Macaca mulatta: one gene and its partners. The protein of the gene in region 5 binds, or shares a complex with, the protein of the main gene of each other region. Links are inferred from orthologs where the notes say so. Each region holds a gene or a part of one and is shown on either strand. Other genes may lie near its edges.

Evidence for each region.
Region 1: DRC7 (region 5) and IQCD share a complex: the UniProt entries of both Homo sapiens proteins name them as parts of the nexin-dynein regulatory complex. The link is inferred for Macaca mulatta from reciprocal best matches to the Homo sapiens genes DRC7 and DRC10.
Region 2: DRC7 (region 5) and FBXL13 share a complex: the UniProt entries of both Homo sapiens proteins name them as parts of the nexin-dynein regulatory complex. The link is inferred for Macaca mulatta from reciprocal best matches to the Homo sapiens genes DRC7 and FBXL13.
Region 3: DRC7 (region 5) and IQCG share a complex: the UniProt entries of both Homo sapiens proteins name them as parts of the nexin-dynein regulatory complex. The link is inferred for Macaca mulatta from reciprocal best matches to the Homo sapiens genes DRC7 and DRC9.
Region 4: DRC7 (region 5) and DRC12 share a complex: the UniProt entries of both Homo sapiens proteins name them as parts of the nexin-dynein regulatory complex. The link is inferred for Macaca mulatta from reciprocal best matches to the Homo sapiens genes DRC7 and DRC12.
Region 6: DRC7 (region 5) and GAS8 share a complex: the UniProt entries of both Homo sapiens proteins name them as parts of the nexin-dynein regulatory complex. The link is inferred for Macaca mulatta from reciprocal best matches to the Homo sapiens genes DRC7 and DRC4.
Region 7: DRC7 (region 5) and DRC1 share a complex: the UniProt entries of both Homo sapiens proteins name them as parts of the nexin-dynein regulatory complex. The link is inferred for Macaca mulatta from reciprocal best matches to the Homo sapiens genes DRC7 and DRC1.

Annotation. Positions count from the first base shown.
Region 1 is NC_133416.1:120,462,226-120,466,602, reverse strand, and holds the start of IQCD (dynein regulatory complex protein 10), read left to right. Parts: upstream 1-1,281; 5' UTR 1,282-1,393; intron 1,394-4,377. UniProt on the Homo sapiens protein: Component of the nexin-dynein regulatory complex (N-DRC), a key regulator of ciliary/flagellar motility which maintains the alignment and integrity of the distal axoneme and regulates microtubule sliding in motile axonemes.
Region 2 is NC_133408.1:142,505,002-142,509,434, reverse strand, and holds the end of FBXL13 (F-box and leucine-rich repeat protein 13), read left to right. Parts: intron 1-1,460; coding exon 1,461-1,650; 3' UTR 1,651-3,804; downstream 3,805-4,433. UniProt on the Homo sapiens protein: Substrate-recognition component of the SCF (SKP1-CUL1-F-box protein)-type E3 ubiquitin ligase complex.
Region 3 is NC_133407.1:975,535-979,825, forward strand, and holds the start of IQCG (dynein regulatory complex protein 9), read left to right. Parts: upstream 1-1,340; 5' UTR 1,341-1,596; intron 1,597-1,721; 5' UTR 1,722-1,888; intron 1,889-4,291. Other genes in the region: LMLN (leishmanolysin-like peptidase), read right to left, coding at 1,002-1,220. UniProt on the Homo sapiens protein: Component of the nexin-dynein regulatory complex (N-DRC), a key regulator of ciliary/flagellar motility which maintains the alignment and integrity of the distal axoneme and regulates microtubule sliding in motile axonemes.
Region 4 is NC_133419.1:119,883,219-119,887,682, forward strand, and holds the start of DRC12 (dynein regulatory complex protein 12), read right to left. Parts: upstream 2,842-4,464; 5' UTR 2,797-2,841; coding exon 2,584-2,796; intron 2,286-2,583; coding exon 2,213-2,285; intron 1,787-2,212; coding exon 1,712-1,786; intron 644-1,711; coding exon 524-643; intron 1-523. UniProt on the Homo sapiens protein: Component of the nexin-dynein regulatory complex (N-DRC), a key regulator of ciliary/flagellar motility which maintains the alignment and integrity of the distal axoneme and regulates microtubule sliding in motile axonemes.
Region 5 is NC_133425.1:53,308,632-53,312,485, forward strand, and holds part of DRC7 (dynein regulatory complex subunit 7), read left to right. Parts: intron 1-284; 5' UTR 285-321; coding exon 322-524; intron 525-1,221; coding exon 1,222-1,396; intron 1,397-2,516; coding exon 2,517-2,642; intron 2,643-3,854. UniProt on the Homo sapiens protein: Component of the nexin-dynein regulatory complex (N-DRC) a key regulator of ciliary/flagellar motility which maintains the alignment and integrity of the distal axoneme and regulates microtubule sliding in motile axonemes.
Region 6 is NC_133425.1:85,492,441-85,496,294, forward strand, and holds part of GAS8 (dynein regulatory complex subunit 4), read left to right. Parts: exon of another isoform or gene 1-7; intron 8-761; exon of another isoform or gene 762-884; coding exon 885-1,082; intron 1,083-2,756; coding exon 2,757-2,963; intron 2,964-3,854. UniProt on the Homo sapiens protein: Component of the nexin-dynein regulatory complex (N-DRC), a key regulator of ciliary/flagellar motility which maintains the alignment and integrity of the distal axoneme and regulates microtubule sliding in motile axonemes.
Region 7 is NC_133418.1:98,605,826-98,610,369, forward strand, and holds the start of DRC1 (dynein regulatory complex protein 1), read right to left. Parts: upstream 3,036-4,544; 5' UTR 2,966-3,035; coding exon 2,811-2,965; intron 1-2,810. UniProt on the Homo sapiens protein: Component of the nexin-dynein regulatory complex (N-DRC) a key regulator of ciliary/flagellar motility which maintains the alignment and integrity of the distal axoneme and regulates microtubule sliding in motile axonemes.

The DNA of each region.
Region 1 (4,377 bases), on a different chromosome or scaffold from region 5:
ATTGAGCTGCTGTTGAAAAATCCTATCTTAGCTAATATCCCCACTTTACGAATGAGGAAATTGAATCTTGGAGTGGTTAACTTGCCTCTTATAAGTTTCAACCCAGGTAGTTTGAATCAGGGAACCTTCCTGCTTAACCATGACCCTATATACACCTACGACTAGAACCAGTACCCTGATTTGAATTCAAACACGTCATTTGTCCAGCGAGACAAAAATGAGGTCCAGAGAGGGGAAGAGACTTGCCCAAGGTCACACAGTGCAGGAGCGGGGCTAGAACCCGGGACTCCTGAGTCCTGGTCCAGTGTTCCCTCCGCGGGCTTTGCTTCTGCCTCTACAGAGGACCCAAATGGCCAGCCCTGGGGAAAGGGCCTAGGGGAAGAGGGCCAGCTGCCATGCCGCTGTCCGCTCGGGCAGCCTGACCCGGGCACGAGACTCCTGCGGGGTCACCTGAGGGCGCCAGGGAGAAGAGCGAGGGAGGGAGCAAGAAGGAGGCAGGAGCGCTGGCTCCAGCTCCGCGTGCTCCCAGCCCCTGGCTGGGTGCCCACGTGAGGGTCGCCCCAAGAAGTCGGGGGCAAGGAGAGAGGGTGCAAAGCCCCGGCCCGGGCTGGACGGAGAGAAGCGCGGCGGAGACTTCCCCGCGCCCTCTCTGGGCCCATTCAGTCCACCTCCCACACCAGAGTGTCGCGCCGCAACCCCTTACTCCGCGCCCTCTGACCCTGATCCCTGCCCTCTCCCTCTGGCCAAGTCCTCGCATCCCTCGGATTCTTACACGCGCCGCCCCAGCAACCCGGACCGCGCGCCGGGGTCCGCACCACGCAGCCCAGCCCGCCGGCGCCGCCGCCAAAACCCCGAGCCCGAAGCTGTTGCAGCCGCCGCAGCCGCCGCCACTTCAGCCACCGCCACCAGGGTAGCTGCGCCAGCTCTCCCATCCGCCGCCTACCGTCCTCTCAACCCCGCTCGCCCCGCCCCATTTCCCCTTCACAGCGTCCTACTGGCTAACTGGGCTACCATGATGAGCTCTGATTGGTCAATTCTCACGTCTTTCCGCAGGTCTCGCCCGCAGCCGAGGCAGTACTCCCTGCCCGCCTCCTTAAGAAGGGGCGGGACGAAGAATCCACGCCCCTTTCTCCTCCCATCTTCCCCGCCTTAATCGTTGAGTCCAACCCAGAGGGAGTCCCAAGTCTTTCCATTGGTGCAAGGTCAAAATGGCGGTGCTTCTGATTGGTCAGACTTCAGGAGGTGGGGACAATTGAGCGGAACAAGAAATTGAATGGTGAAAAGAAAGGTCAGTCAGACACAGAGTCCCGCCTTCTGAGATTGGCGGGTAACCTCGCAACGCTGGGACTGCGGCGGTAACTGTGGCTAGGGAAACCTGGAGCCGTCAGAGCGGGTGAGTAACCAGGTGGGAAAGGGTCGCGGATCGGGGGAGATGTGGAATGGGGTTCAGCCCGATGTCCTTTGGCTCCCTGAGAAATTGGTAGCCCCCGCTGCGATCCCGTCTCAGCTTCAGGACCCCGTCCCTCAGCCCCTGCCTCAGTCTGGACCTCTGGCTCCACAGCCTGCAGGGAGCCGGCCTCCATTCTTCCCCTTCTACCTGCCCACTTCATGGCCCCACTCCCTCATCCCTAAAACGACGAGGACACCAGTCAAGCAGAGTCACATCGTAGTTAACTTATTTCAAGTCAAACATGGGAGCTGTGGGTGGGAGGGGGGTTTATAAGTCCCCTCCCATTCCACCCAACGACCATACGTTCCTCGGTGAGCGGGCCATCTCACTTAAGTGTTTAAATTAGGTAGTTTTTGTTTGTTTTTGTTGTTGTTGTTTTTGCCTAGCGCGGTGACTCACGCCTGTAATCCCAGTACTTTGGGAGGCCAAGGCGGGCAGATCACTAAAGATCAGGAGTTCTAGACCAGCCTGGCCAATATAGTGAAACCTCATCTCTACTGAAAATACAAAAATTAGCTGGGCATGGTGGTGCACCTGTAATCCCAGCTACTCGGGAGGCTAAGGCACGAGAATCACTTGAACCCGGGAGACCGAGGTTGCAGTAAGCCAAGATCGCGCCATTGCACTCCATCCTCGGCAACAGAGCAGGACTCTGTCCCAAATAAATAAATAAATTAGGTAATTTTTATTATACCACTTTGGCCTTTGTCCTAACTTTGGAATTTATTTCCCATCTCCGTCCTTAAAATGTAATCTCTTTGTACCTACTAAAGATAGAGAGTTTCTTGTGATGATTAAATGAGGCTGAGGGCTGGGCACAGTGGCTCAATCTGCAATCCCAACAATTTGGGAGGCCGAGCGGCGGATCACCTGAGGCCAGGAGTTTGAGACCAGCCTGGCCAACATGGTGAAACCCTGTCTCTACTAAAAATACAAAAATTAGCTGGGCATGGTGGTGCATGCCTGTGATCCCATCTACTCGGGAGGCTGAGGCAGGAGAATTTCTTGAACCCGGGTGGTGGAGGTTGCAGTGAGCCGAGATGGTGCCACTGCACTCCCGCGGGGGTGATAGAGCGAGGCTCCATCTCAATAAATAAATAAATAAATAAATAAGGCTGAGGTGGAAGAATCGCTTGAACTCAAGAGGCGGAGGTTGCAGTGAGCCATGATTGCACTGCTGCACTCCAGCCTGGGCCACAGAGTGAAAAACCCTGTCTCAAAAAAATATATAAAAAAGAAAAACTTTGAGGTTCAAAAGATATTTTCGTAAGAAAATGAAAAGATCAGCCACAGACACAGACATGGAGGAAATATTTGCAAATCTCATGTGTCTTATAATAGACTTGTATGTAGAAAATAAAAATAACTCTTATAACTCAAGAGGACAACTCCATTTTTTTAATGGGCAAAAGAGTTGAGTAGACATTTAAAAATCAAAAAGACAATCCCAAATATCATCATGTAGATAAATAAACAAACTAGCTTTCATATATTGCTGGTAGGTACAGCAGAATACCAATTGGTACCACCAATCTGAAATATAGTTGGCAGTTTCTTAAAAAGTTAAACATAGGCCAGGCACAGTGGCTCATGCCTGTAATCCCAGCACTGTGGGAGGCACAGGCAGGTGGATCACCTGAGGTCAGGAGTTCGAGACCAGCCTGGCCAACATAGCAAAACCCCGTCTCTACTAAAAATACAAAAATTAGCAGGGCATGCTGGCGGGCCCCTGTATTCCCAGCTACTTGGGAGGCTGAGGCAGGAGAATCACTTGAACCTAGGAGGCGGAGGTTGCAGTGAGCCGAGATCATGCCACTGCATTCCAGCCTGGGCAATAGAGTGAGACTCTGTCTCAAAAAAAAAAAAAAAAAGCAAATGAGTATTTCATTATTTTGATCTGAGCTTTACGATTTTTCTTTTCTTTTTTTTTTGAGATGGAGTTTTGTGTTGTTGCCCAGGTTGGAGTGCAGTGGCACGAGAATTGCTTGAATCTGGAAGGTGGAGGTTGCAGTGAGCTGAGATCACGCCACTGTACTCCAGCCTGGGCAACAGAGCGAGACTCAGTCTCAAAAACAAAACAACTACAACAAAAAAATGTGAGTGGAAACAGAGATCGTTTGCAGATTAGCTCATGGGAATTTGGTGGAGTGATAGAAATGTTCTAAAACAGGATTGTATCTAAAACTGATGTGGCAACTTTAGATACATTTACAAAAATAGTAATTGAGTTTTATACTTACAATGGGTGAATTTTATGGTAATGTAAATTACACCTCAATAGAGCTGTAAAAAAAAAAATTACACGCGTGGTTAGTACCATGCAGGAAAGGTGAGAGAATTTCCACAGGTTGTAAAGTGCTGTGTGTTCCTGTCTGAGAAGGGGTAGCCATTGAGCTAAGACCTAAAGAATGAGAAATTGTTAATCCAGGGAGAAATTGTTCATGGGGGAGTTGGTTTCTGACATAAAGTAACATTATACGTTAGTGCCTGAGAGCAGGAGGGGTTTGAGATAGGCTGTTTTTTGTTTGTTTTGTTTTTGAGACAGAGCCCCTCTCTGTTGCCCAGGCTGGAATGCAGTGGTGCAATCTCAGCTCACTGCAACCTACGCCTCTCGGGTCCAAGCAATTCTCCTGCCTCAGCCTACCAGGTAGCTGGGATTACAGGTGCCCGCCATCATGCGCTGCTAATTTTTGTATTTTTAGTAGAGACGGGGTTTCACCATGTTGGCCAGGCTTGGTCTCGAACCCTTTTTTTTTTTTTTTTTTGAGACGGAGTCTTGCTCTGTCGCCCAGGCTGGAGTACAATGGCGCAATCTTGGCTCACTGCAAGCTCCACCTCCCGGGTTCACGCCATTCTCCTGCCTCAGCCTCCCGTGTAGCTGGGACTACAGGCACCCGCCACCGCACCCGGATAATTTTTTGTATTTT
Region 2 (4,433 bases), on a different chromosome or scaffold from region 5:
GTTCACCTTTATAGAATTGAAAAGGGAGAAATATCATTAGGAGAATAATATGGGAGAAGCAAAAGATATAAACCCATTACTTTTGCATAGTAATGTTCTACGATGAGGATATATAAAGATTACATAAGAGGTTTAAAATGCAGGATAGCACCTTTAAAAAAGATAAAAAAATTAACAGAATGCAAAACATTATCTTTGACAATAAACTTATCATTTTCAAAACTGAGAATAAATATTTCTCTGAAGAGAATAAACTTGTTTGCCAAGTTTTAGTCCATAGGGATTGGTGGCTTCAAACTAGAAATTAGTATATGATCATTGCTTTTACTCAATTTGTTCTTTAAGTATGTAGAAGTTTTGTGTGAGAGCAGATATATCAGTTAAAAAGCAATGTGCTTAGAGGCAGAATTAGCAATGCTTTGGTTATCTCCCTGTTGAGTTTGGTTACAATTATTTTAATACATCTAAAGTTCAACTTAACTGTAACAGCAATTTAAACTGCTATCTCTGTGTTGTTGGGGTTTTTTCTTCCTATTTCATTGCCTTACCTGAACTCATATCGCCATTCAGCACAAACTTAACTCAAAGTGTATGGTAATGCCAGCTCCATATCAATGACTCAGTTTCCAGACTTTTGCAATTAATAACTCAATGTAACATACAGCAAGAGTGGAGAAGGTAGTGCCTTCATGGGTAAACATCACAGTTACTAATTTCTAATCCTACAGAAGTGGTCAATTGCTCATCTCCTTTTTAGTACTAATCTCGTGATTCAAACCAACTTTCTAGGAAAGGAAATTCTTCCTTCTGTCCTCACAATGGCTTTGTTTTCAAGTTAGACATACTTTTTTTCTGATGCCTTCTTTACTTTCTTATTTCCTCCTAAGAAAGACTATAACAGTATTTTTTAATCACTTTGGTCATGGACACCTTTGAGTCACAAACCTCATAAAAATGTGTATTATAGACAAAACTGCATGAACTTTCAGGGAGTACATGGACCTCCCTGAAGTTCATCCATGTAGTCAAAAGGGATCTGTGAAAGGGATCTGTGAACTCTGGGTTAAGAGCTCCTGGCCTGGTGCATGGTCAGCCTTCACAGGTAGGGTGGTTAGGTTACTCCCTCATCAGAGAAACTAGAAATACCAAGGAAGGGGCTTACTCAAAGCAGTGTAAATAAATAGAGGCCTCAGTGTTCCTCTTCCATGGCCATGTGTAGTTTCCTTACCCATTCACTGTATCTGTTAATTTCTGAAGTGGTTGAATCAGAGCTACTGAGGCTTTGGGACCCTCTTTATTTGTACATTTACCCATCTCCTCACTCTCAGCAAGGCAAGAGAGGTCTGATGTGAATTCAAATTGTGACAGTGAATTCTCTAACTCCAAATTTGGTTGAGTTTGAAAATTCTGCACTAGGGATTACTTCTGCAACTAGCTAATGCTAAGCACTGTTATTACAGGAAGGCAGCTCAGAGAATGTCATCTAAAGTTCAGCAGCAGGAATACAACTCTAATGACCCTCCACGTTGGTTTGGCTATGATAGGGAAGGAGACCCTCTTACAGAGCTTGACAATGTAACACCATCTAAAGGAGCCTCAGAATTAACAGTGGAAAAGTCAACATACAGCAGTGAAGAGCAAGCAGCGTGACCTTCAGCCTCAAGCAGGAAAAACAACAAATCAAGAACTTGACAAGTTTTCTCCATTTGTTGCAAGTATGTTCACTAGCTGAATCTCAATAACAATGTAAACAAGCAACAAACCATCTTCTGATTCTTATTCCAACTACAAATATTTCCAAATACATCAGTAGTTCTTCTGTCTAAATAATCATGATTTAAAAAAGAAGCCAGGCCGGGAGCAGTGGCTCATGCCTGTAATCCTAGCACTTTGGGAGGCCGAGGCAGGTGGATCATAAGGTCAGGAGTTCGAGACCAGCCTGGCCAACATGGTAAAACTCCATCTCCACTAAAACTACAAAAATTAGCTGGCTGTGGTGGTGAGCGCCTGTAATCCCAGCTACTCGGGTGGCTGAGGCAGAGGACTCGCTTGAACCTGAGAGGCGGAAGTTGCAGTGAGCCTAGATCACGCCACTACACTCCAGCCTGGGCGAAAGAGCAAGACTCTGTCTCAAAAACAAAACAAAAAACAAACAAAAAAAAGAAGCCAAATCAAGTACTGACTACATAAAATTTCTGCCTAAATTTAATCAAACCAATAGTTTTTTGATGAGATATAAAATGTAAAGTTATATGAAACAACCCTGAGAGATGAGATTTTTTTTTTATAAGAAATTAAGAAATTTTTCTCTAGAAAGGAAAAAGAAAGCAGAGATGGCCATATGTCAAACTAAGAGTTTGAGCCAGGGCCATAACTTTAAGGATCTGTGGTGCTTTATAAAGTTTTATAAAGAATACAGACATATATTAATATTTTCAAAGGAAATGTGGCTTTCCTGTGGTTTCCAGACATTTAACAACAAAAGAGAACTAAATGCCACCAATTAACTCTGGACTTATCTCAATATTTGACTTAGTCAGGGGCAAATTAAATAGAAACTAGAACTATCTGAATAGAAAGAATGTCCCTGCAATGTCTCAGAAAGATATTTCTTTAATCAAATTTGCACAATGGAGGAATTCTTAAACTATGCTATGCCAAAAAAGATGCTCCCTCAATTTTATGCTAGGAAGTATGGGTTATTAATTGCATATCTACATATTAGTTTTTAATCAGCTTTAATCTGTGGGTTTTAGTATATGTGCTGCTGAAGCCAGCACATCTGTGGGTTTTTACCATTATTTGATATTATGTAACACTGATGTTGACACAGTCCAAGAGAAAGCACAACTCTGTTCTGACTGCTGCAAACAAGCTATGTCAGCAATATCAGATCAGCCTTTTAACCTATTTCCTCAATTACTTATCTCTCACGTGGAGTTCTCTTTTTGTATTCCACAAGTTTCAAACAAGGATTAAAAACTTAAAGCATCGTTACTTTGAAAAGTTTTAAAAAGATTGTACAAAGTATTATTATAGGTTACCCTGTATTAGCTAAATGCTTTTAGTAATTCTCCCCCACTGAGGTTGATTTGCAAAGTTTTTGAAATAAGGTAATATTACTTAGCTGTGGAAAGGTTCTTAGGAGTGGGCACACAGGCAACAGAATCATTTCAATGGGAAGTTTTAGAACCATAGCCAAGAGACATAAGATGACATAAGAGTACGGTTTTAACCTAAATTTGGAAATTTCTGGCAGCTGCATTAAAGATGTTTTCAAAAATCTGATTCCTAAGTGCCCATGCACACAACTGGAGGAACTTATAAAAGAGGCAATTGCTTTCTAAAGGAATGACACCTGCCCTGGGAAGACCCCGGTAAGAAACACACCCTGTTACGTATTCTCCAGAAACCTAGCAGGTTGCTTTACATTCAGAGCTTGCTCCAAAGCTCTTTGAGTAACATCCTCTCTTAAACAAGAACAGAAGACACATTCATTCATTCCAGGGAGACAAATTTTACAGCTACATAAATGAAAAAAAGGAGTAGAAAAAGTGAGCTATGAAAGGAACCAAGAAGTAAGGTATACAGGTAGAGAAATCTTTTAAGTTCTCAGTGCAAAGTACTCAAAATATCAAAGATATTAGTTAGGTCTTTAGCCCTTAAACATTTCATATTCATAGGTCTGTGTCCAAGAGAGTAAAATATTTCAGCTTTTTCTTTTTGTCTGGGGCTTAACAATGTGATCCAAATATGTACAATTCCATTAATAGTTTAAATATAGTTGACTGCTATTATGCTTATGACTTTTCTGGCTGTGATTGGCTAATTTATTTTTAGTCATGAAAATGTTTATGTAATTGCATGAAGGTGAAAAAAGATTATAAAAATTGCCTCACTGCCACACAGTTTCCTCTACTTAATAGTATAACACACCCCAACCATACCAAATATACCAATGTGTAAGTATCTTTCAGACTTGTATACATTCTCATTTCATGAAGGGTGAACTAAAAGGAGACTTTGAGATACCCTACAAAGCTGACTTTTGTTTCATAAATAAAGAAGTTAAAAACAGAACTCTAAAGAAATGGCATATTAATGAAAAGGAGGCTGGGCACAGTGGTTCATGCCTATAATCGCAGCACTTTGGGAGGCCAAGGCAGAAGGACAACTTGAGGCCAGGAGTTCGAGACCTGATGAATTTGTAAGACCCACCTCTATAAAAAATTAAAAAATTAGAGCAGGCATGGTGGTGCCTGTCTGTAATTCCAGCAACTCAGGAGGCTGAGGCAGGAGAATGCCTGAGGCCAGGAGTTTAAGGCTTCAGTGAGCTATGATCATGCCACTGCACTCCAGCCTGGGCAACAGAGTGAGACCTCAGAAAAAAAGAAAAAGATAATCATAAATAATATTTGGAAAGGTTTGTTAAA
Region 3 (4,291 bases), on a different chromosome or scaffold from region 5:
AAGAGTATGCATGTAACATTTTGGGAAATTACCATAAAAATGAGTGTCTTTAGATTTCTGGACTGAACTGAACGTGTATGTATCAGCATGCAGCCCTGCCCCCAGGTACTCTCCCTCCTTTTCTCAAGGAATATGGATTATCGTGGACCCACCTCTGACCTAAATACTGTGAAGGAATCAAAGTATGAAACACAAACCTCATCCCACGGAACCTTACAATTTAACTGCAAAGGCAAGATACGCCTAAAAAAAATAAGCCATTACCACATAGCAGTACTTGGTTAAATGCTAGGAGGGAGTACAGATACGATGTACTTTTTAATGAAAAGAACATTCCGCTGTGGGAGTTTCGGCAGGCTGCCTTGAGGTTGGGGAACTTGAAATGAGACAAAGTATTTAAGCAGGGAGAAAAATGGGACGGGAGGCCGGCAGGCACTTCCAGAGCAGAGGAATCGGGTAAAGCAAACAGAGTGACGACACAACGTGAAAAGAAACCTGAAGTTTGTCTCCAGTGAGCCCCCAACATCCCCCCAACGCCTCTGTCTGGCTCTCCGTTCAGTATCTTCCCGAAACTTCAGGTCAGCGGTTCCTAAAGTGGTCCCCGGACAAGCATACATCACCAACCAGCTGGGAACGTAAACTGTCAATCTGGGGACTCATCCCAGACCCACTGAGTCACTAAGTGGGGGACTGGGGGCGGCAATCTGTGTTGGACCGTGTGCGTCGGGTGACTGTGATGCACGCTCAAGTTTGAAAAGCACTCCTCCAGGGCTACTGCTAAGCACAACCCTCCGCACCGAAGTGATACTGTTCTGAGCGCCTAACAGCCAACTTGCAGGGTGTAGGGAGCTGAGAGCGGGTCCCAGGCCTGTAAGAGTTCAGGCTCTGCCCCGATTTCGCTTTCTCATCCAGGACACCTTCTCCCAGTCACTACCTCCTACGCCTGCTCCTTCTGGACGACTTTACCCTGACAGGGCCCGCTCCCGCCCCTGTCGCCCTACCTCAGTGTCAGAGGGGACGTGGTGCCGGCAGGGAGGGGAACTGCCCAAGGAGACGGGAGTAGATGTGGCGCTGGCCCGGAGCCCGCCCAACAGGAGTAAAACGCTTCGGACCCACATAGACCCGCTCCAGCGCCACCGGCTCCGGCCCGGGCCTGAGCCTGAGTAACCCGCTCCTCCTCCCCACTCGGCCGCCATCTTCGGGCCGAGCGTCGTTACCATGGAGCGCGTGACGCCTCTGCGCCCGCGCCGGCCCCGCCCCTCGCCGCTCGGGGCAGACGGAGGCCCCCGCCGGCGGAAAGGTGCTTTCCGATTGGACAGCGTCACCCGCTGGAAGTTCGCGGCAGAAGATGAGGGCGGCGATCACGTCCATCGCGTCTCGTTGCGCGAGGCCGGCCAATAAATGCCGTTTGGAGGCCCACGTGAGTGGGGCTGTGGGAGGAAGAAGGGCGCGCGGGCGTTGGCCGTGTGTGGGTGTCTGAGGCAGTTTTCCAGTTCTTTCGTTTACCAAAGTGATATGCACCTACTAGGTGCCAGGTGTTTGGACGGACATTCAACCCTCTGCAGAATCTTTCAGTGTAGTCCTCTGTAGGAAAAGGTGAGTGGAATACTTTCATTTACTTATCCTGAGTCACCAACTTTAGGCGCTTTACTTGACTAAAGCCATTTCCTGTAAAAATCAATGATACACACTTTACTATTTTACTCAACTCCATCTTTTAGTTTCCAACCAAGAATTGCCACTGCACCTGAGATAAGGGAGATCCTGGGAGCCGTGAGGAACTACACAAAATGGGAAATTGGGACAAATTCCAGTGGCTCATGACACTAAGAAGTAAAAGTACGAACTCAGACACTGAGCTGGAAGTCATGCAACGGGAATTGAATAGGTAAACTACTATACTGGGAAATGAAGGGGTAGGAAAGAAGGAAAACTTCAAGTTACAGACTGGGTGGAGATTACGGACTCAGATATGAGGATGGGGTGGTGTCTTAAGTATTACCATTTTACAAGTGAATAGTCACTAAATAATGTGTGTATCATCCCACAACTAGTGGAAGGTGGGATTCCAAACCACATTTGTAACTTAGGAAACGTGCCCTTTCCATTACAGTACCACAAATAAACTGCTGTTGTGAATAAAGAGTGGAACCAGTCATCCTAAGCTCCTGGCTGTTACAATAGTGTTACGCTGAGGAAAGGCTGTTTCTTTTTTTTTATTTTTGAGACTGACTTTCACTTGTCGCCCAGGCTGGAGTGCAGTGGCGCAATCTCGGCTCACTGCAACCTCTGCTTCCCGGGTTCAAGCGATTCTCCTGCCTCCGCCTCCCGAGTAGCCGGGATTACAGGCGCCCGCCACCACTCCCGACTTTTTGTGTTTTTAGTAGAGACGTAGTTTCACCACGTTGGCCAGGCTGGTCTCAACTTCATGACCTCAGGTGATCCGCCCGCCTCCGCCTCCCAAAGTGTTTGGGATTACAGCCATGAGCCAAAGCTGTTTCAATGGCATAGTGAACAAAATACCAGCCACGCAAGCCCTTTCCTGTAAACCACGGGACTTTGGCAACGGTGACTTAAGTACTTTTGACTTAATTTCGGTATGGGAGCAGAAAAAATTATAAATTTATTATTTACAAATGCTGCATCATCTCGGTAAGGAAGAGCATGTATTTGCTCGAGTCTCATTTGCCATTGCACATATAAGTTACTCGAGTTACCCTAAAGTCTCAACCTTTTGTTTTCCCCGCTTTGCTCAGATGCCTACCACTTACTGTGTAAGCACCTCCATTCCTTTCATCTATTCTACTCAGAATACCATTCACTTCTCCATATGCCTAAACCAGACCTGAAATACCCATCAGTCTTCATGGATATGTCGATTAACATCTTACCGCCTCCTCAAATTCAACTTTTGCTCCTCCCACAAAACCATCCCCTGGTTCCCCAGCTTTGCAAATGCACCATTACCCATCCAGCCCCCATAGCCAGAAACATGTTAGAACGTTAGCCATTTGAGACTGAAAAGCCCACCTGATTTTCCCTTGTTTATACTGGGCTGCCACTGGGATGTAAAATGTTAATCTGAGCTGGACATGGTGGCTCACACCTGTAATCCCAGTACTTTAGGAGAACAAGGCAGGGGGATCACTTGAGGCCAGGAATTAAGAGACCAGCCTGGGACCCCGAAAAAAAAATTTAATTAACTGGATGTGGGTGGCATGCACATGTAGTCCCAGATTCTCTGGAGGTTGTGGGCAGAGGATTGCCTGAGCCCAGAAGTTCAAGGGTGCAGTGAACTATGATCACACCACTGCAGGCTGGGCAACAGAAACCCTGTCTCAAATGAGTAAATTTTAAAATTTCCTGTGAATCAAGTTCTTCAGTGACATTGTTACTACACACAAGAACAATCTTAAGATCCTCAGTACAAGAGACGTCTTATGTGGCATTTCTGAGTTTTCTGGACTTTCCAGTCAGCTACTTGTATTCCTAAAATCTTCCTGCCATTTCCTGAGATGCCTCCGTATTTCTTCTACACTTTATAGTTTTATGTTATGTCAGGATACCCACATGCCTCTATCCCTAAATACCCCAAGAGTACTGATCACATCTATTTAACTGGCACAATGAACACAATAGGTACTTTTAGCTTATATTGGCCTTTTGGAGTGGGTGTCCAAGATCAGCACTTCCTCCCGCTGACTGCGTAATTCCCAAGTTCAATTTCATCAGCATTCTAATATACAACTTCCAACTTTTGACCATGAAAAAGTATGGCTTACTTCTGGTGAATACAGCATCAATGCACTTTGTTTGCCTTAAAACCACAATCCTAATAAATGAGCCTGGCAGAGCATTAATAATAAAAGCCCCTGTCCATGAAACATGGGACTCCAACAATGGCAACTTTGGCCTACATTCCACCATTGGACTGACCGAACCTTTCTTACGACTGCCGATGTGACAGAGGGACCTCTGGGAGAGGACTTCTTGTTTTCTCTTGCGTCAGTATATCTCATTACTCTCTTAGTAGGTTAGCAGATTTGTAACAGGATGGTTACTAGAGGAAGGGGAAGCGGAAAAGCTGGGACAGTATTCCTACTCTTTTCCCTTACTACATTTTCCTTCTCAGTCCTGCCTCCAGGAGATGAAAGACCAAATAACACAACAGCCAATGTGCTCTTCCCACGCAGTCCTTTCTTTCACCCTCTTTCCCTAATACATTTCCAGCATGTTAATTCTTTTGCGGCATAGACAAGAGAACCCATACATGTTTCAAAACTGCAAAAGG
Region 4 (4,464 bases), on a different chromosome or scaffold from region 5:
GACGGAGTTTCACCATGTTAGCCAGGATGGTCTCGATCTCCTGACCTCGTGATCCGCCCGCCTCGGCCTCCCAAAGTGCTGGGATTACAGGTGTGAGCCACCACTCCCGGCCCATGGTCTTCTTGGTTCTTTTTGTGATTCTGAGAAGCTAGAGACCATGAAAACCTGAGGAAGGGAAAGGAAGCCCAACCCACCTCCCCCACCGTCCAGCTTTGGATGGGGATGCTAGTCCTTCTCCCCTCCCATAGGATGGTTGAGGTGATGGCTATGACTGCATGCGTATCCTACACAGCATCAAGCACATGGCACCAGGCATCCTGGCAGGCCCCTGCCTGGGATCCCAGGAACCTACCTGCCTTTGATTCCTGCAGGATCCTGCCTGATTTGTACTGTTCGGGGAAGACCAAGACCAGGCCTGGCAGTTGGAAGCCCTCCTTGTTTCCCTTCCTTGCATCATCTGACCCTGCTGGTTGTCTTCCTCCAGGCCCCTGTCTCCTGCCCACCTGCTCAACAGACCACACACCTGCATATATGGCCTTCCCTTCACTTCGGGCCCCTTCCAGCTCAGCCTCCACCCTTTGCAGCCTCTGCTTCAGCTGGTCTTCGGAAGCCTTGGCTCGACGGGCTTCATCCCTCCGTAGAGCTGTGAGCAGTCCCAGAGCCACTGTCAGGACTGGCTGGGGCCCGCTAAATCAGCCCCCATGAACTTGATGAATTTTGCCCGTCTCTAGAAATCTGGTGGCGGGGCGTCCAGCCTCTTATTCTCTCTCTGGGTTTTGTTGTTTTTGTTTTTTATCCCTAGAGTCTCACAGGCTCCTCATTATTAAGAAGTAAAGACTCTCTCCATGTTCTGCCTATACAAAATAGCTTTCCGGATAGCCCGGCATGGTGGCTCATGCCTGTAATCCCAATATTTTGGGAGGCTTAGGTGGGAGAATTGCTTGAGGCCAGGAGTTTGAGACCTGCCTGGGCAACAGAGTGAGACCTTGTCTCTATAAGAAAAATAAATAGGGCCAGGCGCAGTGGCTCATGCCTGTAATCCCAGCACTTTGGGAGGCCAAGGTGGGAGGATCATGAGGTCAAGAGTTCGAGACCAGCTTGGCCAACATGGTGAAAACCTGTCTCTAATAAGAATACAAAAATTAGCCGGGCGTGGTGGCTGTGTGCCTGTAATCCCAGCTACTTGGGAGGCCGAGGCAGGGGAATCACTTGAGCCTGGGAGGCAGAGGTTGCAGTGAGCCAAGATCACGCCACTGCACTCCAGCCTGGGCAACAGAGCACAGGACTCTGTCTTAAAAAAAAAAGATAGTAAAATAAAATAAAATGAAATAATAAAATAAAATAAATTTTAAAAAAGAAAAATAAATAAATAAATAAAGTAGCTAGGTAGGGTGGTGTGCACCAGCTACTCGTGAAGCTGAGGTGGGAAGATTGTTGGGGTCCAGGAGTTTGAGATTACAGTGAGCTATGATCACACCACTGCAGTCCAGCCTGGGCAATAGAGCAAGATTCTGTCTAAAAAAAAAAAAAAAGCTTCCTTTATCAACTCTCACTGCCCACCCCTCTCTCATTGTCTTTTTCCACTAGGGGATGGTTAGGGTTCAACTTAGCCCCCCACTGTATCTCCAACTCTCCAATCCCCCAGGATACAGAAATGCCCCATTTCACTTGCCCTGTTGCCCACCCCCATGCCAACTTCTACCCTCCTTACCCAAGTGATCTCGGAGCAGCTCCTTCTCCAGCACCACCAGCCTGTGCCTGGACTCAGCCTCCACATCTGCACCTGCTGTGGCAAGTGGCAGAGCCTCAGCTCTTCGTGATCTCAGCATTCCTCACTCTCCTTGCGTCCTCACCCCACACCCTGCACTTTTGCCACAGGAGACCTGAGGACCACTAAATGAGGGATCCATGGTGGCAGAGTCTACTGAAGTCAGCACTGTGTCCTTACCAACCAGCACATAACAGATATGCAAAATACACATGACAAATATATTAGGAAGGCACAAAGCTAGATGGTGCTTAAAGGAGAGCGTGAGTGACCATTTCCCCACTTCCTCAGCTCCCTGCATCTGACTTCAAGGACACGAAAGAGGAAGGTCAAGAGAGTTCCATCCTGTCATGTAGAAGGCTGAATTCTCTCTGGAGGAGCTCTGCGTGGTCTTCATGCCAGAACATGGAGAAGCAGGGGGCACCTCCACCCACCATGACTCACCCCAGTTCTTTTTCTTCTGCGCCCCAGATTTCTTCCCTTTTTCTTTGTTTTTAAGTGGCATCTCCTTGCTGTCCTGGGAGAAGGAGGGGACCTTATGTTTAGGTCTGGACACAGGGATGCTTTCCTGACTGAATCAGGAGTCTCAGGGGAGTCTCCTGGTTCTACTCCAAATTTGTATCTCATACTCTTCAGAAAAGTCAGTTCACAGTCTCTTTGGAACCTCAGGCAGGGTTGGGGTCAACGGGGAGGGTGAAGTTTTTTCTCTCAACCAGGCTGACTGTACGGAAGTCACTCCTCACAACTCTCTTTTAGATAAATCCCTGTACCTGCTCCCCTCCCTCTTCCCATCATCCTCAACCCCCTCTTCCTACCTGTAGGATCCTCTCCTGCCAGTGTTGGGGCTCCCTGTGGAGTGACCCACCCGTGGGGAGTGGCAGAGAGAAGGCCCAACTAGCGAGGAGCCTGAGGCGGGGCCTGGGTCCTGGGAGCCAATCCTTGGTGACAAATTTCTCTTGAGGGCAGGACTGAGGGCTGGAAGGTTGGGTTTCGGGAGGCTGTATGTTGTCCAGGCAACTGGGAAACATGGAGTTCGTAGGAAGGTGGAATGGGCTAAATCAGCTCACAAAGCTTAAAATATCAAGGTCTCAAAGGGTCAGTTCTTTCCTTATCCCAAAACCCTAAGTATAGTTTGAAAAGAAAGGGCTTTGGAGGCCGATTGGTTATGATTCATTGCCACGTAGACATGGCCTGCAATTTGGAGACTTCCAAATTCAGATGTACACATCTGAGATAATATGTTGTGCTGATACAGAGGAAAAGGACTGACAGTAGCCATGTTGGACAATTGACATCCCGAGGTCCCATCAGCAAAATGACATTAGTAGGTTTAAAACTGAAGATCTAAGCTGGGGGCGGTGGCTCATGCCTATAATCCCAACATTTTCAGAAGCTGAGGCAGGAGGATTACTTGAGGCCAGGAGTTCAAGACCAGCCTGGACAACACAGTGAGACCTCATTTCTACAAAAAATTAAAAAATTAGCCTGGCAGGGTGGTGCACACCTGTTAGTCTCAGCTACTCGGGAGGCTGAAGCAGGAGAACCACTTGAGCCTGGGAGGTTGAGGCAGCAGTGAGCTATGATTGCACCACTGCACTCCAGCCTGGATGACAGAGGGAGACCCTGTCTCAAACAAACAAACAAACAAACAAACAAAAACCCCAAACCACTGAAGATCCTCTTCAGTACACTGTGGAATGAGGGTAATAAGTACAGGAATAGGTAGTCGAGGGCGTTTCCCACTTCAGAGAAATGAGACACAAAGGAACAGCAGACCCATGGACTCTAGGGTACTGACCTAGAGGGATGCAAGTGTGCAGGAAAGTGCTCAGGTTAGAGACAAGACATTTGAGTTTGAGTCCCAACTGTGGATATGTAAACTGAGGCAAGCCATTTGACTTTGCTCAGCATCAGTTTCCTGATCTTTAAATGTTTGATTTTGTAGCTCTTGAAAAGCCTGTGTTTTAGCTAGGTGTTTACATGGCTATCTTCTCTCCTAGTTACTTAATCTATTGCTACATTTCCCCATTCCCTTGTGTGGTTGATTTTCAGACAGGTGTTGAGACATTGCTTTGTGAGGCTCCCTGCAGCATAGAGTTGGTTGGGGCTCCCTCTAGTGGACTTGTTTGACCTTCTCCTGAGTTTCCCACATTTTTGCTTTTAAATTATTTACTGGGCAATATTGGGGGTGACTCCCTTTGGGGATACTTCTTAGTGTCCTGCTGGAGCCAGGAGTGGCTGGAATAATTAATGTGGGGGAGAGAGTATGACGGGTGGCCCTCCCTTGTCAGGCAGCCTTCACTCTCCCTGCAGCTCTGTGCTATCCTGAGGCTTGCCATCTATCTGCCACTTGGATCTCTGGGCACCATACTGGTTAGAGTGAAAACAGCAGACACTTCAGGGCTTTTCTCCTTTTGGATTAGGGGACCTGCAGACCGTTTCTTTAGGTTTTTTGTTTGTTTGTTTTGTTTTTGTTTTTGTTTTGAGACAGAGTCTCGCTCTGTTGCCCAGGCTGGAGTGCAGTGGCACGATCTCGGCTCACTGCAAGCTCCACCTCCCGGGTTCATGCTGCGACTGCAGGCATCCACCACCACGCCCCGCTAATTTTTTTGTATTTTTAGTAGAGATGGGGTTTCACCGTGTTAGCCAGGATGGACTCGATCTCCTGACCTCGTGATCCACCCGCCTCGGCCTCC
Region 5 (3,854 bases):
TCCTGCCCTGTCCTGTCCTGATGATGGCTTCCAGCCGGAGGCCTGCTTTGTCTTTGTTGTAAAGGAATATTTGCCAGGATTAGAAAGGTGTTACAGATGGGGTAGCACCAAACAGAGACCTTCTCCATGTTTGAAAGGAAGTCAAAGAGGGAATCACTGCCTTCCTATGTGCTCTACACCTCCCCAAAACCATCTCCCAGGCCTCCCAGGGATGCCCCAGTGGTGTTGGTGGCTCCTGCCTGGTCTGACAGTCAGCCATGGCGTATACTTCCCCTTCCCCACAGAGACATTCTGTCTCCAGACAGCCAGAGACGCTCCAGAATGGAGGTCCTGAGGGAGAAGGTGGAGGAGGAGGAGGAGGCAGAGCGGGAGGAGGCGGCCAAGCGGGCTGAATGGGCGAGGACCGAGAAAATGATGAGGCCAGTTGAGGTGCGGAAGGAGGAAACCACCTTGACACAGGAGATGCTCAGAGACCTGGAGAAGAAGCTGTCGGAGATCCAGATCCCCATCTCAGCGGAGCTCCCGTGAGTGTGGCAGTGTGGGGGCCCTGGCAAGGGCAGACCGGGGCTGGGCACAGGGAGACCCAGGCAGAGTGGTGGCGACTGGTCTGGCAGGGTGACCAGTTAAGAGTGAAGGCTTTCTGCTTTCAAATGGCCTGGGCCGAGTGTCCACGCTCCCCCGACTAGCTGTGTGACCTTGGGCAAGTCACTCAGCCTCTCGGTGCCTCAGTGCCTTTATCTGTCTAAAAGTGCAGGTGCTGGCCGGGCGCTGTGGCTCACATCTGTAGTCCCAGCACTTTAGAAGGAAGAGGTGGGAGGATCGCTTGAGACCAGGAGTTCGAGACGAGCCCGGGCAACATAGCGAGACCCCCATCTATCTCGACAAAAAATACAAAAATTAGCCAGGTGTGGTGGTGCCTCTAGTCCCAGCTACTTGGGAGGCTGAGGTGGGAGGGTCACTTAAGCCCAGGAGTTCAAGGCTGCAGTGAGCTATGACTGTGCTACCGCACTCCAGCCTGAGCAACAGAGCAAGACCTGTCTCTTAAATATAAATAAATAAATAAATAAATAATAAATAAATAAGCAGATGTTAATGATACCTGCTTTCTCAGTAGCTGTGAGGATTAAATGAGGAAGGGATAGAGCCAATGGCAACTCAGTGGAACCAGGGCTCCTGAGTACCAGGCATGGCTTCCCTAATGCCGTCCCTCTTGTGGCACAGGGCCTTTACCAAGGACACTATTGACATCTCCAAGCTGCCTGTTTCCTACAAAACCAACACACCCAAGGAGGAGCACCTGCTGCAGGTGGCAGACAACTTTTCCCGCCAGTACAGCCATCTGTGCCCGGATCGCGTGCCCCTCTTCCTGCACCCCCTGAACGAGTGCGAAGTGCCTGTAAGGCTGGCATGTTGAGGGCAGGGCCAGGGAGCCTGGGGCTGGAGAGCAGAGGGCACAGGGAAGTGGGGTGGGTTCTCCAAGGGCACTGGGCCAAATCACAGACCTCCTGTGGACTGGAGTGCTTCTAGTCTGGGGGAAACATAAACTCCAATGCCAGCAGGCCTCAGCAGGCTCAGTGCAGAGTACCCTGGAGGGTGGTGGTGGCCTGGAGACCCCATGCCTCGCCTAAAGAGGCAGCTGCTGATTGCTGCAGGGAAACTACAGGTGTGGGGCTACCTGATTAAGAGGAAACTGGGGATTTGTGTGGGAGTCTCTGATTTTTAAATGCTGGCAGCTGACATAAATGCTAAACATCGTCACATGGGCCAAATAAAGCGGGTCTGTGTGTCCCTGTCAGCCAATGGGCAGCTGTTTCCCACCCTCTGGATGAATCCCATGTCATTCCATCTACAGATGGAGAAACTGAGGCCCAGAAAGGCTCAGACACATGCTCTGGGTCACAGGGCTGGAAGGAAGAAGCCAGAGCTTAGGTTCTTATGCCTGTTCTGGTCCAGTTTGTCTTATTTCTCTGTCCTTCGCTGGACAGGCTGACCTCTGAGGCTTCAGACTGTACTGGCCACCAGCTGGCCCCAGCCCAGAACCTCTGTAGGCCCCAGGGAGAGCATCGCTCTTGGGAGGAGAGCACAGCGCTCCCAGGAACCCCAGGAAACAGACCTGATCTTCTCATTCAGCCCTGACTTGCTGGGTCACCTCAGGCAGCTCTCAAGCCCGCTCTGGGCCTCAGGTGTCTCCATGATGCCCTAGGGGTTGAAGGCGGCAAAACTTCAAAGCTCTTCAAAGTCCAGATCCAGAATATGCTTGTGCTGTCTCCAGGTGCTGGCAACGTGATGGGGGCCTCCCAGTCATTGCCACTGCGCCACTGATGGCTGCCATGCACCAGATCTGGGCGTCACCTTCCCAGCCAAGGGCTGCTCTGCCACCCCAGGGCATGTGGGCCTGGCCTCCTGCATTTGCTCGGGCCTCTAGGGTCCCCCTGTGGATTCGGAGAAGGCCCCAACACTGGATCTCAGAGGTTTTTACTGCCATGACCCCACTGGCACCATCTCTTTCCTTGCAGAAGTTCGTGAGCACAACCCTCCGGCCCACACTGATGCCCTACCCCGAGCTCTACAACTGGGACAGCTGTGCCCAGTTTGTCTCTGACTTCCTCACCATGGTGCCCCTGCCTGACCCCCTCAAGCCGGTAAGCGCCACTCACAGGCTGCATGCCTGAGCCCACTAGGACTAAGATGGTGTGAGAAACAAACTCACCCATCCAAACCCAAAGAATGGAGTTAGAGGCCGGGCGTGGCAAGGTGGGTGGATCACAAGGTCAGGAGTTCGAGACCAGCCTGACCAACATGGTGAAACCTCGTCTCTATTACAAATACAACAATTAGCGGGATGTGGTGGCGTGTGCCTGTAATCCTAGCTACTGGGGAGGCTGAGGCAGGATAATCACTTGAACCTGGGAAGCGGAGGTTGCAGTGAGCCGAGATGGCTGGCGCCATTGCACTCCAGCCTGAGTGACAAGAGCAAAACTCCCATCTCAAAAAAAAAAAAAAAAAAAAAAAAAAAAAAAAAAATGGACATAGAGACCTGGAGAACAGTGAAAGTGAGACTTTGAATGATGGTCTCGCAAGATTGGGTGTCTGATAGGCAGACACACCCAGCACAGTTTTAACAGGCAATTTATCCCCTAGTGCGCAGGTCCCTCCCCTGGTTCTTCACAGGCTAAGTACTATGGGGCCACAATCTTCCCAGACATCGCCTATTGATTGTTAGGCAGGGGCTTTAGGTGTTTTTTCTAGGGTGGTTTTGCGGCATTTTGTTGCAACCCGCAATGCATTGCAATCCTAGTTAGCTCAGGGGCTCTTTAAGTATTTGACTTACGACCTAGGTAACTGGGCAAGCTGATAAGAACAGCTACTTGGGAGGCTGAGGCAGGAGAATGGCGTAAACCCAGGAGGCGGAGCTTGCAGTGAGCTGAGATCCGGCCACTGCATTCCAGCCTGGGCGACAGAGCGAGACTCGGACAGAGTGAGACTCCGACAGAGCGAGACAAAGCCAGCTATTTAGCAAACTAGTAAACTTTTATCTTAGGCTAAACTTTTTTGGTTTGAGTGAGGGCAGCTAAGGCGGTAAGGAGGAGGCTGACAAACAGGCATTGGCTATTCAAGCAGGGGCCTAGTATATTCTGGGTTTTTATTTTTGGTAGTTTGCTGACCTAAGCAGATTCAAGGCACTTTTCCTTGGAAACTGATCACTGTGTACATTATTTCCTTCAATGGGATGCCAGGCATGGTCTGGGAAAAGGAAGTTCAGCCAGACTCAGGGCACAGCCTCTCAGGGCCCTAAGGGCAAACAGGCCCAGAGAGAGACAGCCACTTGCCTGAGGACACACAGCAAGCCTGGG
Region 6 (3,854 bases), about 32 Mb from region 5:
CTCCCAGGTTCAAGCAATCCTCCTATCTCAGTCTTCTGAGTAGCTGGGACTATAGGCACGTGCCACCACTCCTGGCTAATTTTTTTTTTTTTTTTTTTTTTTTTTGTAGTGACGGGGTTTTGCCATGTTGCCTGGGCTGGTCAACTCTGGGTCTCAAAAGATCCTCCCACTTTGGCCTCCCAGAGTGGCGGGAGCCACCATGCCTGGCTGTTTGTGTATTTTTTGAGACAGAATCTCACTCTGTCACCCAGGCTTGAGTGTAGTGGCATGATCGTAATTAACTGCAGCCTCAGCCTCCTGAGCTTAAATGACTCTCCCCCCTCAGCTTTCCCAGTAGCTGAGACTATAGGTGCCATCATGCTTGGTGAATTCAAAAAAAATTTTGCAGAGATGAGGACTTGCTATGTTGCCCAAGCTGGTCTTAGACTCTTGGGCTCAAGGGATCCTTCCACCTCGGCCTCCCAGAGTGCTGGGGTTACAGGCGAGAGCCACTGTGCCTCGCTCATTTCCCTGTTTAAACTGGTCTTAGATTATTTCCTTTTCGATATTTTTGCTGTTGTAATAATGGTGTGGGTAATATCTTTGAGCAAGATGTTCTTATATTTCTTTTGAGAAATTTCTTAGGCATAAATTCTCAGGAATGGATGAAAGGATATAGTTATTTTATGATTATTGGTCAAATTGAAGAGAATTCTTCCATTTGCTGAATGTATTCTGTCTCTGGAGCTTCCTAGCCTTATATTTTAACTTTTTACGTTCAGCTGTTTATTTTTAGGTGAAATTGAGTCCTCCCTCTTTCTTCTTTGCCTTTCTTCGGCCACACGCCCCTTTGCCGTGCATGGGCCCCTGCTCAGTGCCTCACCTGACCCACTGCACCTGGCCAGGTGGAGGAGCATGTCAGCCGCATCCGGGAGGAGCTGGACCGCGAGCGGGAGGAGCGAAACTACTTCCAGCTGGAGCGGGACAAGATCCACACCTTCTGGGAGATCACACGGAGGCAGCTGGAGGAGAAGAAGGCTGAGCTGCGGAACAAAGACCGGGAGATGGAAGAAGCTGAGGAGAGGCACCAGGTGGAGATCAAGGTGAGTGGGGCCAGCCTGCCTGTGGCCACGTGGTCACCACACAGCTGCAGAGGAGCTGGACCCAGTGAGGGTGCAGGTGGGACATTTTCTGTTCTTGGCTTTAGGAGTCACAGCCCTAAAAGTGTTTTTTATAAAAGGCTGAGGGAGAAAACCTGCAGGTCCTGAGGGTTTAAAATGCAGTTTCCACAACCTGGAGGGAGTATGGGCTCTGGGGGCAGACTGGCCTGTTTGCAACTCAGCTCTGCCACTTAGCACCCCATGAGCTGGGGATGCACCTCACCTCCCAGCCTTGGTGTCCTACTCTGTGCCTCAAGTGTACAGGTTTGCATAGGTGAACAGGCATGTGTAGCTGTGTACAGGTGAGGAGGCATGCAAGTGAGCAGGTGGATGCAAGTGTTGAGGTGTGTGCAGGTGAGGAGGTGTGTGCAGGTGAGGCGTGGGGAGGTGAGCAAGAGGGGCAGATATGTGCAGATGAGGTGTGTGTAGGCGAGCAGGTGTCTACAGGTATGACAGGTGAGGAGGTGTGGTACAGGTGTGGTGCAGGTGACCAGGTCTGTACAGGAAGGTACAGGTGAGGTGTACAGGTGACCAGGTGTGTACAAGAATGTGCAGGTGAGGAGGTGTGGTACAGGTGTGGTACAGGTGTGGTGCAGGTGACCAGGTCTGTACAGGTACGGACAGGTGAGGAGGTGTGGTACAGGTGTGGTGCAGGGGACCAGGTATATACAGGAAGGGACAGGTGAGGAGGTATACAAGTGACCAGGTGTGTACGGGTACAGACAGGTGAAGAGGTGTGGTGCAGGTGTGGTGCAGGTGACCAGGTGTGTACAAGAATGTGCAGGTGAGGAGGTGTGGTACAGGTGTGGTGCAGGTGACCAGGTGTGTACAAGAATGTGCAGGTGAGGAGGTGTGGTACAGGTGTGGTGCAGGTGACCAGGTGTGTACAGGAATGTGCAGGTGAGGAGGTGTGGTACAGGTGTGGTGCAGGTGAGCAGGTCTGTACAGGTACGGACAGGTGAGGAGGTGTGGTACAGGTGTGGTGCAGGGGACCAGGTATATACAGGAAGGGACAGGTGAGGAGGTATACAAGTGACCAGGTGTGTACGGGTACAGACAGGTGAAGAGGTGTGGTGCAGGTGTGGTGCAGGTGACCAGGTGTGTACAAGAATGTGCAGGTGAGGAGGTGTGGTACAGGTGTGGTGCAGGTGACCAGGTGTGTACAGGAATGTGCAGGTGAGGAGGTGTGGTACAGGTGTGGTGCAGGTGACCAGGTCTGTACAGGTACGGACAGGTGAGGAGGTGTGGTACAGGTGACCAGGTGTGTACAGGAATGTGCAGGTGAGGAGGTGTGGTACAGGTGTGGTACAGGTGACCAGGTGTGTACAGGAATGTGCAGGTGAGGAGGTGTGGTAGAGGTGAACAGGTGTGTACAGGTATGGACAGGTGAGGAGGTGTGGTACCGGTGCAGTGCAGGTGAGTGGGAGTGTACAGGTATGTACAGGTGAGGAGGCGAGGTACAGGTGTGGTTCAGGTGACCAGGTATGTACAGGAATGTGCAGGTGAGGAGGTGTACAGATGTGGTACAGGTGACTGGTGTGTACAGGTATGGACAGGTGAGGAGGTGTGGTATAGGTGTGGTGCAGGTGAGCAGGTGGTACTCCCTTTGCCCTGCAGGTGTACAAGCAGAAAGTGAAGCACCTGCTGTATGAGCACCAGAACAACCTGACTGAGATGAAGGCTGAGGGCACCGTAGTCATGAAGCTGGCACAGAAGGAGCACCGCACACAGGAGGGTGTGCTGCGCAAGGACATGCGGGCACTGAAGGTGGAGCTCAAGGAGCAGGAGCTGGCCAACGAGGTGGTGGTGAAGAACCTACGGCTGGTAGGTGTGGCGGGGGCACGTGGAGGCTGACAGGTGGTTGGGACGGCGAGTCTAGTGCTGCATGAACTCCTGTTTATTCAACAGCAACTGGGAATTCATGTTTTTGTGTAAGACCTTCTGCATTTTTGCAATTTGTTGAAATTTTTTTTTAAAGCATGCATCCAAACAAACTCCATTTTGGGACCAAGTACACAATTCTGTTTCAGATCTCAGCAAAAAATTGACGTCCCTGAAGAAAAAAATCCAGCTTAAGATCTTTCATGTGCTGCTGACACCTGATACCCAGAGACTTTTCCTAGGGAATAGCGTCAGATGCATTTAGTAGAATGCAAACCAACCATTAAAATATCCAGTGTGTTGACTCCTGGGCAGCTGTGACAGTTTGTCACACAAGCTGGTCTGATTTTTACTTTTGAGGCGGGGGGTTTCCAGGGCAGCACTAAATTCATTTGTGCACCTGGTTGAGTGACTCACACCCGTAATCCCAGCACTTGGGAGGGTTAGGTGGGAGAATTGGTTGAGGCCAATAGTTTGAGACTAGCTTGGGTGAAATAGTTGAACAATAGTTGAACCCCATGTCTAAAAATTAAAAAACCATTAACTGGTGTGGCAGCTCATGCCGATAGTTTCAGCTACTTGGGAGGCTGAGGCGGAGGGTCTCTAGAGCTCAGAAAGTCAAGGCTGTAGTGAGCTAGGATTGCGCCTCTGCACTCCAGCCTAGGTGACAGTGAGACAAAACAAAAAGGAAAGAACTTACTGGCTGAGTGTCCATTAGCTGCTAGGTCCTGATCTGATCTCTGACAAAATGCCTGCCCGACTGGGTCTGCTGGTCTAGAAAGGAGAGACAACAGGTGAGCTGGAAGACAAAATAAATGTGTCAGATACAACAGA
Region 7 (4,544 bases), on a different chromosome or scaffold from region 5:
GTCATCTACTCAGGTGGGCTGTACGATAAGGAAAGAGGATACCCAGAAATGTTTAGGATTAGAACAGGATCTGAGTTAGCATTGACACGCAGAGACCCGAAGCATGCTCTCACCCACTTAGAGTGAGGACATACGGGAGGCAAAGTCCTACTTACAGAGGGTCTACCAGGTCTCTGGACTCAGCCAGTCATCATGTCTCTAATGGCCAAAAGTAGAATTGGGACTGACATACTTAGAAGTTTGAAAAACTCCACTCCTTGGCCTACAAATAGACCTGTCATAGTGGGGAAGGCCAAAAGTACATCTCTGAAACTGCACCTGAGTACACAGAAAACAACATTGCCGCCCAGGGCGGTTGGTGGGCATTAGTGTCACCCTGAAGTATCTCAACGATGCAGGAGTGGTGATCCCTATTGAATCTCCTTTTAATTCATGGATCTGGCACCTGCAGAAACTGGATCCTAGAAAACGACTGTCAATTACCGGAAGCTGCACAGGTAGCACTCCTGAACACAGCATCTACGCAAGTGTGGTAAGCTTCGCTAGAGCAAATTTGTACAGCCTCAGGCACAGTATGTGTGGCTACTGATTGGGTCAAATGCATGCTTTTCTACATCAGGAAAAAGAATCAGGAAGTTCACATTTACATGGAACAGACAATGATATACACTCACAAGTCTGTCACACTCACAGGACCATGGTAATTCTCCTGATCTCTGTCATAATATATTCTGAATACATCAGGGACATCTGGATATCCCAGAGAACATCACAATGATCCATTACTTCAGCACTGGCAAACTATGGCCTGTGGGCCAGATCCAGTCCACCACGTGCTTTTTTATGGCTTCCAGGCAAATAATGATTCTGACAATTTTTTTTTTTTTTTGAGATAGAGTCTCGCTCTGTTGCCCAGGCTGGAGTACAATGGCACGATCTCAGCTCACTGCAACCTCTGCCTCTTGGGTTCAAGCGATTCTCCTGCCTCAGTCTCCTGAGTAGCTGGGATTACAGGTGTACGCCACCATCCCTGGCTAATTTTTGTATTTTTAATAGCGACAGGGTTTCGCCATGTTGGTCAGGCTGGTCTCAAACTCCTGACCTCATGATCCCGCCCGCCTCAGCCTCCCGAAGTGTTGGGATTACAGGTATGAGCCACTGCGCCCGGCCCATTTTTTTTTTTTTTTTTTTTTTTTTTTTTTGAGACGGAGTTTTGCACTTGTCACCCAGGCTGGAGTGCAGTGGCACTATCTCAGTTCACTGCAACCTCCACCTCCCAGGTTCGAGCAATTCTCCTGCCTCAGGCTCCCAAGTAACTGAGATTACAGGTGCCTGCCACCACACCCAACTAATTTTTGTATTTTTAGTACAGACGGGGTTTCACCATGTTGGCCAGGCTGGCCTTGAACTCCTGACCTTAGGTGATCCTCCTGCCTTGGCCTCCCAAAGTGCTGGGATTACAGGCACAAGCTACAATTTTTTACAATTTTAAATGGTTAAAAAATATATAAATGAATGGTTAAAAAAGACTAGGATGAATAAGTAGAGCACAGGGGATTTTTAGGGCAGTGAAAATATTTGGTGTAATACCATATTGGTGGGCTCATGTCACTATAAATTTATTCAAACCCATAGGCTATACAACACCAAAAAGAAACCCTAAGGTAAACGATGGAGTTCAAGTGATAACGATGCGCCAAGGTTCATATATTGTTACAAATGTGCCTTCCAGTGCAGGATGTTGACAGTGGCTGTGCACGTGTGGTGGCAGGGAGTATATGGGAATGCTGTACTTTTGACCAATTTTGCTGTGATCCTAAAAACTGCTCTAAAAAATAAAGTTTATTATTATTTTTAATCAAAAGAAGGCTATTTTGTGATACATGAACAGTATATGAAATTCAAATTTCAGTGTCCATAAATAAAGCTTTATTGGAACACAGTCATGCCCATTTGTTTATGTCTTGCCTGTGGCTGCTTTTGCACTACAATGGCAGTTGAGCAGCTAGGAAAGACGCCATATGATCCCAAAAGCCTAAAATATTTACTATCTGGCCCTTTACTGAAAGGGTTTGCCAGCCCCTGCATTCCACTGATGGCCCTGCAGCAATCAGCCAGGATGAGCGAGTGATGGAAACACACTGCAGGGCTTGGTAAGACATGTGTGCTCCAGACGTTGGCAATCAACCCTATGAAGGCCCAGGGACTGCATGTCATTCAAGTTTGTAGGGGTCCAGTGGTCAGTGGCACACTGGGATAGCCTATCAAGTAAAAAACAAATCTACTGCGTTTTGCATCCTCTACAGAGAAGGAAACTCAATGCCTCTTAGACCACTTTGGGTCCTAGTACATCCCGCATTAGGAATACTATTCAGGCTGACACAAAAAGCTGCCAGCTTTGAGTGGTGCCTGGAACAGGAAAGGACCCAGGCCACAGTGTAAGCAGCCAGGCTACTTGGGCCACATGATCCAGCAGACCCTACGGTTTGGGGGTGTACGTAGTGGAAAAGATGCCATGTGCAGACCACAGTCGCGGGCCACCAGGCCCGATTAATATTTTGGTGTTTTATAGAGATGCGGTCTCTCTATGCTGCCCAGACTGATCATCTCGAACTCCTGGGCTCAAGTGATCCTCCCGCCTCGGCCTCCCTGAATGCTGGGATGACAGGCGCGCGTCGCGGCACCGGCCCAGCGTTTTACTTTCCCATACTCTGCATGAACCTTCCGGAAGAAATGTTTCTATTTCATCAGGAAACCAGCCCTGCTCCGGCCCCTGCTGCGCGATCCCGCCCCGCCCGCCCAGCGCTCACCGCCTCCGGGCTTCTAGGCGCGCCGCGATGCGGAGGCGCCGGGCCTGGATGCGCTCCTGAGGGTTGTCGGAGTGGACCGAGGGCGCGAGAATCTGGGTGGACAAGTGCTCGTCCAGGTTCGGGTCCAGGCCCGCTAGGGACCCCGGCGGATTCATGGCAGGAGTCCCCGGCACCTAGGCGGCTCCCTCCGCACCACCTCCAGACCGCAGGCTGGTTGCTAGCAACAAACCGTTGCCAGGGAGAGCGGTCACCGGTGCCACCGCCCGAGTGGTTGCGCGCGCAGCTCCCTGGGCCCAGCCCGCCGCCAGCCGCCATTCGGGCGGAGCATCCCAGCCTCGGGCTGACGCCTCTCCAGCCGGTGGCTTGTCAGGGCTGTTGTCAGCCCCACGAAGGCCCGGTCGTATTAGCGGAGCTGTGGAGTCTCACCAGGAGACTAGAGGACTAAAGAGCTGGACCAAGCTGTGGTTCATCACTTACTGACCTTGATGATTAATTCATCTTCCATTAATTCATCAAATATTCCTCCAACTCATAGTCACCAAATACAAATACAAATGTTTGTAAAAATACAAAACTTAGCTGGGTTTGGTGGTGGGCACCTGTAATCCCAGCTACTCGGGAGGCTGAGGCAGGAGAATCACTTGAATCTGGGAGGTGGATGTTGCAGTGAGCCGAGATCGAGCCACTGCACTCCATCCTGGGCAAGAGCAAGACTCTGTCTCAAACAAACCCAACCAACCAACCAACCAAATACTGGATACCATTTAACAGGGTTCTGTCCCATTAGCCCTTGGGGAATTAAGGGCACTGGATGAGCAGTGAGAAAGGGTGGGTACTAGTCCTAGCCCTGCCCTGCCACCTTGGGCAAGTCACAACTTCTTGAGGGCCATTTTCTCAGCTGTTAAATGGTGCAACCCACAGACAATTGTGGGGCCAAGAAGATCCACCCTTTGTGAGTAAGAACTGCCCAGAGGCAAATGGAGTGGGTTTTTAAAATCAGTTCTTCCAAGTTTGCAAGCAGTAGTAAGGTTTAGGAATGCCAAAACCATCCAACAGCTATAGAGTCTAACAGCAGCTGCCTGGATCCTTGCCTCACACCTGCCTAGGTGGTGGTGGTAGGAGGAGTGGGGGTAGTTGTTTCTAGGCTTCAGGGTCTTCTGCCAGATCTCTGTCTCCTTTGGTTGAAACCTAAAGCATTAAACTCTCCTAGGAGCCATGGTACAGCTCTGACCAAAAACTCACCCTGGTTCTGGTTCTTGTTTCCACTATCCATAAGGACAGAAACAAGTATGTGTGCATACGCATGTCTATGCCTGGGAGTAGGATACCATGAGAAAGTCAGTGGGAATCAGCTGTTGCACAAGAGATAAGTGAGAGCAAAGGTACCATACAAACCCATGAAAAGAGATCAGTGAGATACTTTGGCCCTACACTGTCCCGATACCACTTCCAACATCTTTTTAAATAAGAAATCTGACTCCATTTTTTGCTGCTGATATTTGGCCGCTGACAGCTTTTAAGCAGCACTCCCTCTTCTCCACATCTGGGCAAGCTGTTAAAAAAGCCTAGGTGTGGCCGGGCGCGGTGGTTCACGCCTGTAATCCCAGCACTTTGGGAGGCCGAGATGGGAGAATCACGAGGTCAGGAGATCGAGACCATCCTGGCTAACACGGTGAAACCCCCGTCTCTACTAAAAATACAAAAAATTAGCCAGGTGTGGTGGCGGGCACCTGT